2 linked regions of the Sus scrofa genome follow. The protein of the gene in region 1 interacts with the protein of each later gene in a biochemical or structural test. Links are inferred from orthologs where the notes say so. Each region holds a gene or a part of one and is shown on either strand. Other genes may lie near its edges.

Region 1 (3,809 bases):
ACGTTCACAAGCACCCAAACCAACCCCAAAGCTTCTTTATTGGCTCAAACCACCACGGGAGTCAGAATATTCTGATTTTTTCCCCCACCTCGAAAACGCAGTGACACTGCCTTTGCTCAAACAAAATACTGTCCTACAGAAGCAACAGGGTCACTCACTTCCCCGGGGTAACTCCAGGTCATCTGAACTCTGGTGTTCAAGGGCGTGGTGGCCGTGCAGTTGAGGACGAGAGTGTGACCTCTCAGCAGTCTGACGGGGCTCGGCGTGCTTATTCGGACATCTGTGATTGTGTTGGCTGCAAGCATAGCAAGGTAACATTTAAGAAAAAAATCGACGTTTCATGAACTGGATAAAGCCAGGGGCACTCCGGCTTCTGGAAGATCACTTACTTTGTCGAAGCGTGAGGTAGTTTGTCTTGTACAAATGTCCGTTGATGGTTGTTTCACATGTCAGCAGCCCTATCTCTTTGTATGTTGCATTGGATATTATAAAACCCCTCCTACTGTCCCAGGTGATTCTCTTTCCGTCCAGCGTATCAGGTGGAAACTGGAAAAGGAAGAAAAGCATTTTCACAGAGTCGTATTAGCCCTGTGATAGAAGCGTTTCCCTACTTATTCACTAACGCTCTGAAAATGTAGCTGTTACCGCACATGAGAAGGGTGCGGGAAGAAGCTTCAGTCTGTCATCGTCGGTTCGTTAATTTGCTCTGCATGGAGCCACCTCCACGTTGACTCTGATGCATTGCAGTCAACATGCTCGTCTGCTAAGAACCTTGGCCGAAAGCTGCAGCCACCGAGGAGAGGAGAGACCTCCTCACCCGTCAGAGCCCTCGTGGGAACCCGGAGCTCTGGGCCCTTTGTAACGAACTGGCTCAGGAAACCAATCAATGTTTTGCTGTTTTTCCCCTTAGGGCTGCCACTTCGTCCTCACGGTCTCGTCACCAGGAGCTTTTAACAAGCCACACATTCGCCTCCCATTTTGCCTGATTTGTTAAAGAGGCAGCTGTCTTGGAGTTGCCGCTGTGGCACAGTGAGATGGGCGGCATCTCGGGAGCGCTGGGATACGGGTTTGATCCCTGGCCTGGCACAGTGGGTTAAGGATCCGGTGTTGATGCAGCTGCGGCTCAGGTGGCAACTGCAGATATGCTGTGGCAGGGGGGGCAAAAAAAAAAAAAAAGAGGCTGCTGTCTTAAAAGGACCATAATTCTAGGTCCTCTGCAGTCCATGGCATTAACTCGGCACTTACTGCCGTTATCACTCTGGGGAAGACTGAGGGTGTCGACCCTGCCCCTGGGAGGGAAAGTTCCAGAAGCCAAGGCTGCTGACAGGGAAGAGAGCCGAAAGTGAATGTGAGGCCAGAAACAGTTACGAATGCAGTGCCCCCCAATTCCTGGGAGTACCCCCAAACAGAAGAATCCACGATCTGATTCTCCGACTATGCCTCTCCTCTGTACCAAGGACTCAATTCAAACCATCTCTGGTGGGATTAGACTTTGTAAAGGGTCACTGCCCCTAGAGCGGCCCAGCCAAGTTCCCCTGATGGCAGACTGCCAGCCAGTTTGAGTGGCAGTGGTCTGATGACTGCTATTGTTTATCCCCAGTTGGAAAAAGCGGGGGGAAAATCAGATCACTTTCCCACAACAGATTACCAAGCTTCACAGCATCAACTGCTATAAAGAAGTTTCGAGTCTTTTGTATCTTCTTTTAAAAAGTACACTTTGGAGGGAGTTCCGTTGTGGCTCAGGGGTAATGAATCAGACTGGTATCCATGAGGATGAGGGTTTGATCCCTCGCCTTGCTCAATGGGTTGGGGTTTTGGCGTTGCCATAAACTGTGGTGGAGATTGCAGTCATGGCTTGGATGTTGCCATAGCTGTGGTGTGAGCCAGCAGCTGCAGCTCCGATTTGACCCCTAGCCTGGGAACTTCCATATGCCACAGGGACGGCCCTAAAAAGTAAAAAAAAAAAAAAAAAAAAAAAAAAGTATACACATACACACACCCCTCGGAGTTCCCGCTGTGGCAGTGAGTTAAGAATCTGAGTGCAGCCACTTGGGTCACTGCAGAGGCTCGGGTTCAATCCCTAGCCCGCAGTGGGTTAAAAGATCCAGTGTCACCAGGGCGACTGTCCAGGTTGCAGCTGCTGCTCAGATTCCATCCTTGGCCCGGGAACTTGCATGTGCTATAGGGGCAGCCAAAGGTGCATGGGTGCAGCCATGCATCCATCACTCTATCCATTTATCATTTATGTTTACTGCTTCTGGAAGCAGACAGGGATGTATGGTCCTACGGCAGAGATTTCTATTCCCCCATGGGTATGTCTGCATTGGTACATATCGCCAGAGTGCAACTTGGGTTTGAGATGAATTGCATCCTATCTATGGAGAATGGAAAGCAATCAAAGGATGCATGTCGTTTTAGTAAATTAGGATTCTATCCGTAAACTTAGGAACCCTCCGCAGTCAGTGGGGGTGGGGGTGGGGAACCTTGTCTTCTAACTTGACAAACTATTAAAGGAAAAACTCAGAAAACTTCAAGCCAGGGATCGAAATCCATGACACTATAAAAACAGGTGAAAGCAAAAGCAATGTGCTGAATCTCAAAGACAGACTGGCTGCCAACTTCTCTGTGCGACTTACAAACACATGGAAATCTCCTCTGCAGTGTTTCCCTTACTCACCTATGCATTCCTGCCACTGGCTGTAGCCACTGAAAAAGGAACTTGATTTCCAGCCAACAGGAGCTAAAACAGCAACAGACTAGGTAGCTTATCAGCTGGGGCAGGTGCTGTATGTGTCAGAGGGGGGCAGACAGATGGGCAGCCCTGAAAGGCAGTACCTACAGGGAGGCTCTCGCCAGCTGAGCAGGGCTCCGCCAGTGCAGGCAGGGGAAAGGAGAGGAGGGGACAACCCGTTAGGAAAGAAGGGACAGTAAGAGAAATGGAAGGGAAAGATAGCAACTTCATACACGTGTAATAGGTTAAGTTTTGGGTGTTTTTGCTGTTGTCGTTTTTTTTTGTTTGTTTGTTTTTTTTTTTTTTTTTTTTTGGCTGTGCCCAAAGCATGCAGAAGTTTCTGGGCCAGGGACTGAATCCGCACCACACAGCAATGACAATGCTGGATCCTAAACCACTAGGCTACCAGGGAACTCCTAGGTTAGAACATTTTCAATAAATATGTAATAAACCAAAAAAACCTTAGAACTTTATGCTTCTCTGCAAAAAGAATGTAAATATATATATATATATGACTGAATCATCCTGCTGCGCGGCAGAAATTGGCACAGCACTGTAAATCAACTCCACTTTTAATTTTTTAAAAGTGAAAAAAAGGGAGTTCCCATAGTGGCTCAGCAGAAACGCATCTGACTAGCATCCGCGAGGACTCAGGTTCCATCCCTGGCCTCGCTCAGTGGGTTAAGGATCTGGCCTTGCTGTGGCTGTGGTGTAGGCCAGCAGCTGCAGCTCCAGTTCCTGGGTCCTAGCATGGGAACCTCCATACCTGCAGGTGCGGCCCTGAAAAGACCAAAAAAAAAAAAAAAAAAAAAAAAAAAAAGAGCAACAAAAAAAGAAAAGTGGAAAAAACAGAAAAACAATTTTATACTTCTCTCCTTTTAATGACTATAGAGCTGGGTGGAAAAACAGAGAAAACTCTATCTCCACCAAATGTTTACCTGGGGGAATTTGGGAAAGTTCCTAAAACAGAAAAACAGACGATCTGCTTGAGGGACGTTTGATGACCTGGCGGGTAAGTGGCGGGGGTAAGAATTCAGGAAGCGTGGCCCTGGGCGCTGCCCTAACCACTCTGGCTGGC
Region 2 (3,909 bases), on another chromosome or scaffold:
TACCGATGAGGAAATGGAGGCTCAGACTTTTGGGTAGCTGTTGTCTGAAATATACTAAAAAGTATACTAAAAATATACTAAAAACATCAAAAAGGCCATGGGGTGGGCATAGGTGATGGGTCCCTCCCCAAAACCCAAAGAGCATATTGTGCCCGTCCCAGAAGGCCCAGCAGAGGGAGAGAGAGGGTGTCAGTGAAGTCAAGGATGGCTGCTGTCCCCACCTTCTCAGGGCCCAAGGGGCCTGGGCCTCAGCCTGGAGAGGCTGGCTACCAGGCAGCAGGGGAAGGGTGTTCCCAGCTCGCAGAGGCTACCACGAGTGTGCGTGCGCACGTCCCTACATGCTCCCTTTCTTCCGTGGGAAGTGGTGTGTGGCCTGGCTGCACGTCTCGTAGAGGCAGGGAGGGAGGAGCAAGGCAGGGGGGCCTGGCACGGGCCTCCTGCCTTCTGCACTTTTGTCTCTTTGGCAAATGTCTCACCCTTTGAAGATTCCCTCTTGATGCAACCGCGGGGTGGGGGGGCGAGGGAGGGTGCGACTCATTATGTCTGTTTGTAATCAATGGAAAGGCCGGGTCAGATCCCTGCAGCTCCTCCAGGGCTGGGTTGCTGGGAAGGTTCTCTGGCCCCTCCCTGCTCCTCTTGACTGCTTGCCCACTGCATCCACATCTCCTGGACCCCCAGTCTGGTCCTTGGCACTCACTGCCTGCGCTGCTCTCCAGTATCACATCTGTCCCCTCACATTACATGCTGGGAAGGGGCTCTGAGCCAACCTGACGAGCCCTGGGTACATGAGGCCCAGCCCTGCTGTGCCCGGTGACCCTGGCCCAGGACTATACCTCTCTAAGCCTCTGGGTCTCAATGTGGGACCAGCTTTGTCTGAGTTCCAGGGCATCAGCCAGCTTGCCGACTTTCCCCAGCTTGACATCAGGCTGCACGCACCCTTCATGCCATCCTTTCCAAGCCTCTGCAGAGGCCTGGGGGATGAGGGCCCTGTGAGCTTGTGTACCAACCACTCCCCCCCATGCACCTTCCACCCCAGCAGGCTTACCTTCCACCTCCGATGAGCTGTTCCCAGCAGACAAGGCCCACTGCTGCGGACAGAAAGGTGCAGAGATGAGGGGACCACCTTGGCTGCACACTGGGGCCCAGTGGAAGAGCATAGAGGCTCCTCTGTGCCGCTTCCCACCCGCTGCCCCCACTCTCCATCCCATCTCGGAGCTGGCTCCTCCGGGTGGGTCCTACCGCTGTCTCTGGCCTCAGTTTCCTCATCTGCAAAGGCTAGGAGGCCGGAAGCTTTTGGAGACACTTTGCCTGCTGTGTCCCAAAGATCTCGGGATTCTTTGGGGTCTCCCTTCTACCCCGCCCCCAGGCAGCCCTGCTGGGCCCTGTGCAGCCTGCCTTGGCTGGGTGCCAGAGCCCAGGGGGCGGTGATCAGCTGGTGGGAGCCGAGGCGCTGGAGCCGGTGGCGCCATGAGCCAGTGTGCCGGTAAAGTTACACCTCTGACCAGCCCTGCAGCAGGCAGGCGGGAGGCGGTGGTAGGGCTCTTCCGCCCCCGAGGGACAGCCCGGCCCACCCACTTCTGGGCTGGGGCTGGGGACTCCCAGGGCAGCAGGACATCACAGTGGGAAGGGAGCTCATTGGCTTTGTCAGGATTTCACTGCCCAAGCTGGCTCATGGCCAGACTCACCCAGCTCCTGGGAAAAGGGCCCTGCTCACTTCCCCAGGCCCTGCACTCAGGACCTCCGGCTGCCCACCCGGGAAAGAGGGCACAGTGGGACCCTTGTCTCGCCCCCAGCCCACCCAGGAGTCCTGGGCTCAACCCAGAGCCCTGGTGGGGCAGGGCCCAGCTTTCCCACCACTGGCCTCTTCAGTCAGCTTCCTCTCCATCAGGCCAGGTCAGAGGTCCTGGGGGCGCCTGCCTGGTCATGGGGCCTCGACCCTGACCACAAGGCCAGGGACCCGCCTGGGATTAGTGGAGAGATGCTTTTAGCAAAGCCACCAGGGCTCCAGGGGCCAGACAGGAAACCTCCCTCCCTTCCCTGTGGCTTCCCTGCCCCCGCCAAGACAGACCCCAAAGCTGGAGTCTGAGACAGCGCAGCCTGAGGTCTCTTCCCAGGGGACACGGTCCAGCCTGGCTCCTAGGAAGGGTATGGACATCCCTGGAGGTGCCGCTCCCGGGAGAGGGTCTGCGATTTCAGAGTCCCCTGTTCCCAGTACTGGGAGTGGGAAGATCAGGGAAGCCAGGCTGGGGATGGGGGTCTTACCTGGGGGGGCACAGCCGGCAGTGCCAGCCCAGCCAGAAGCTGCAGGAAGCAAGTGAAGAGCCTCATGGCAGGCATCTGCTCAGACGTACCAAGCCAGGGGGCTCCAAGGGAAAACCACCATGCTCTTCCCCCCGGGGAGGCCCCCGGCCCAAGAGGACAGGAGCTGAATGGGGGGCTGGGTGCCCCCTCACTGCTGCCCCGAGGTCCCCGTCGGTGGGCTGAGCATCCTCTGGAAGCCCTGAGGATTCTGGAGCCCGTAGGTAAGGCTGCGGCTGGGGAACCTGACGCGGAGCGCCGGGCAAGGCCGGGCGGTGTGGGGCAGGCGAGTCCCTGGGGAGGGTCCGTCGGGCGCCCAGCGCGACCCCAGATCCTCTCGTAGCTGGCCCGCGAAGATGCAGTTTCCTCCTCAGACAGCAGCTCCCTTCTGGGACTGAAGCTTGTCGGCGGCTGGGTTTCAGGGGCCGCGAATGGGGCGGGGCTGCAGGCCCGCCCCGCCCACCGCCCAGACCCAAGTCCCTGGGAGCCGCCGAACGGAGCGCCGAGCGGAGCCTGCGGGCTGCCGCCGGGCGGGGAGAACCTGAGCGCGGCCGGCCCGCAGTGCGTGGAAGGGGCGCTCCCGACGCGGACCTCCTGGCTGCCGGAGCCTGCTGCCCGGGGCGCCGGCTGACCCGGGCAGCACCCAGTGCGGGCCGCGGAGAGGGCTCCGCGGCTCCGCTCCCGCGCTTCCAGGCCGGCCACCTTGCATGGGGGGCAGCCAGGTGTGGAGCCCACGCCTGCCAACAGGGCTCCTGACGTTAGCGGATTCTGCGGAGACTGCAGACCCAGCCTCCCCAGGGCAGCAGCGATTTGGTCTGGCCCTTCCCGTGCCACCTTATGCCATCCCCATAATCCTCAAGGGCGAAAGAATTAGAAACCCTATTTTACAGATGAAGAAACTGACGTTCTGAGAGGGCCTCTGCCTGGTGCACATTTATGTGTACTCTTGAAAAGTGTGTGTGTGTGTGTGCGCACGTGTGTGTGACTAATGGAGACAAAACCCAAGGCATGTGGCTGTCTCTTCAGCCCATCCACCATCCTCCTAGCCGTGCACTTGGACCGCCCGCAGCCCAGCTGCGGGCACCTGGCGGAGGCTTCGGCACCATTTCCTCTTGTGGGAAGCCAGTTTCCCAGGCCCTGCCTGCAAGCCTGCCACATGTGGGTTGGAGTGTGGCCTAGAGCAGCATTTCCTCCTGGTCCCAGGAGGAGGAGGAAGTGCTCCAAGGCTGCGGGGTCTGCCGACAGGGGTCTGGGTGCGCGAACGCGCGTCTCTGTGCATGTGTGAGGGCATTGATGTGTAGCCGTGGCGATCCATGCGTGCTGTCCGCCTCTGTGTTGTCTGAGTGTCTGTGTGCCTCTGCTGTGTGTGCAAATGTCGCCTGTGTGAGGGTCTTGGTATCTCTGTATGCCTGTGTGATTACATATGTATGTGTCCGCTTTTTTCTGCTGTGTTTGGAAGTGTGTCTGAATGTGCATTTCGGTGGGCCGGTGAGTTTGTATGCCTGCCTGTGCCTTTGTGTGTGTCTTTGTGTGTGAGTAGCTCAGCCGGCTTCTGTGTGTGCCTGCACATCTCTCCGTGTATTCGTGTGTGCCTTCCATGATCCTGGAGCG

The links.
Region 2: the proteins of FLT1 (region 1) and PGF are reported together in a solved structure, tested with the Homo sapiens proteins (2 studies listed by BioGRID and IntAct, with this or other methods). The link is inferred for Sus scrofa from reciprocal best matches to the Homo sapiens genes FLT1 and PGF.

Annotation. Positions count from the first base shown.
Region 1 is NC_010453.5:5,739,737-5,743,545, forward strand, and holds part of FLT1 (vascular endothelial growth factor receptor 1), read right to left. Parts: intron 547-3,809; coding exon 390-546; intron 296-389; coding exon 159-295; intron 1-158. UniProt on the Homo sapiens protein: Tyrosine-protein kinase that acts as a cell-surface receptor for VEGFA, VEGFB and PGF, and plays an essential role in the development of embryonic vasculature, the regulation of angiogenesis, cell survival, cell migration, macrophage function, chemotaxis, and cancer cell invasion.
Region 2 is NC_010449.5:98,160,054-98,163,962, forward strand, and holds the start of PGF (placenta growth factor), read right to left. Parts: upstream 2,712-3,909; 5' UTR 2,338-2,711; coding exon 2,263-2,337; intron 1,089-2,262; coding exon 1,046-1,088; intron 1-1,045. UniProt on the Homo sapiens protein: Growth factor active in angiogenesis and endothelial cell growth, stimulating their proliferation and migration. It binds to the receptor FLT1/VEGFR-1. Isoform PlGF-2 binds NRP1/neuropilin-1 and NRP2/neuropilin-2 in a heparin-dependent manner.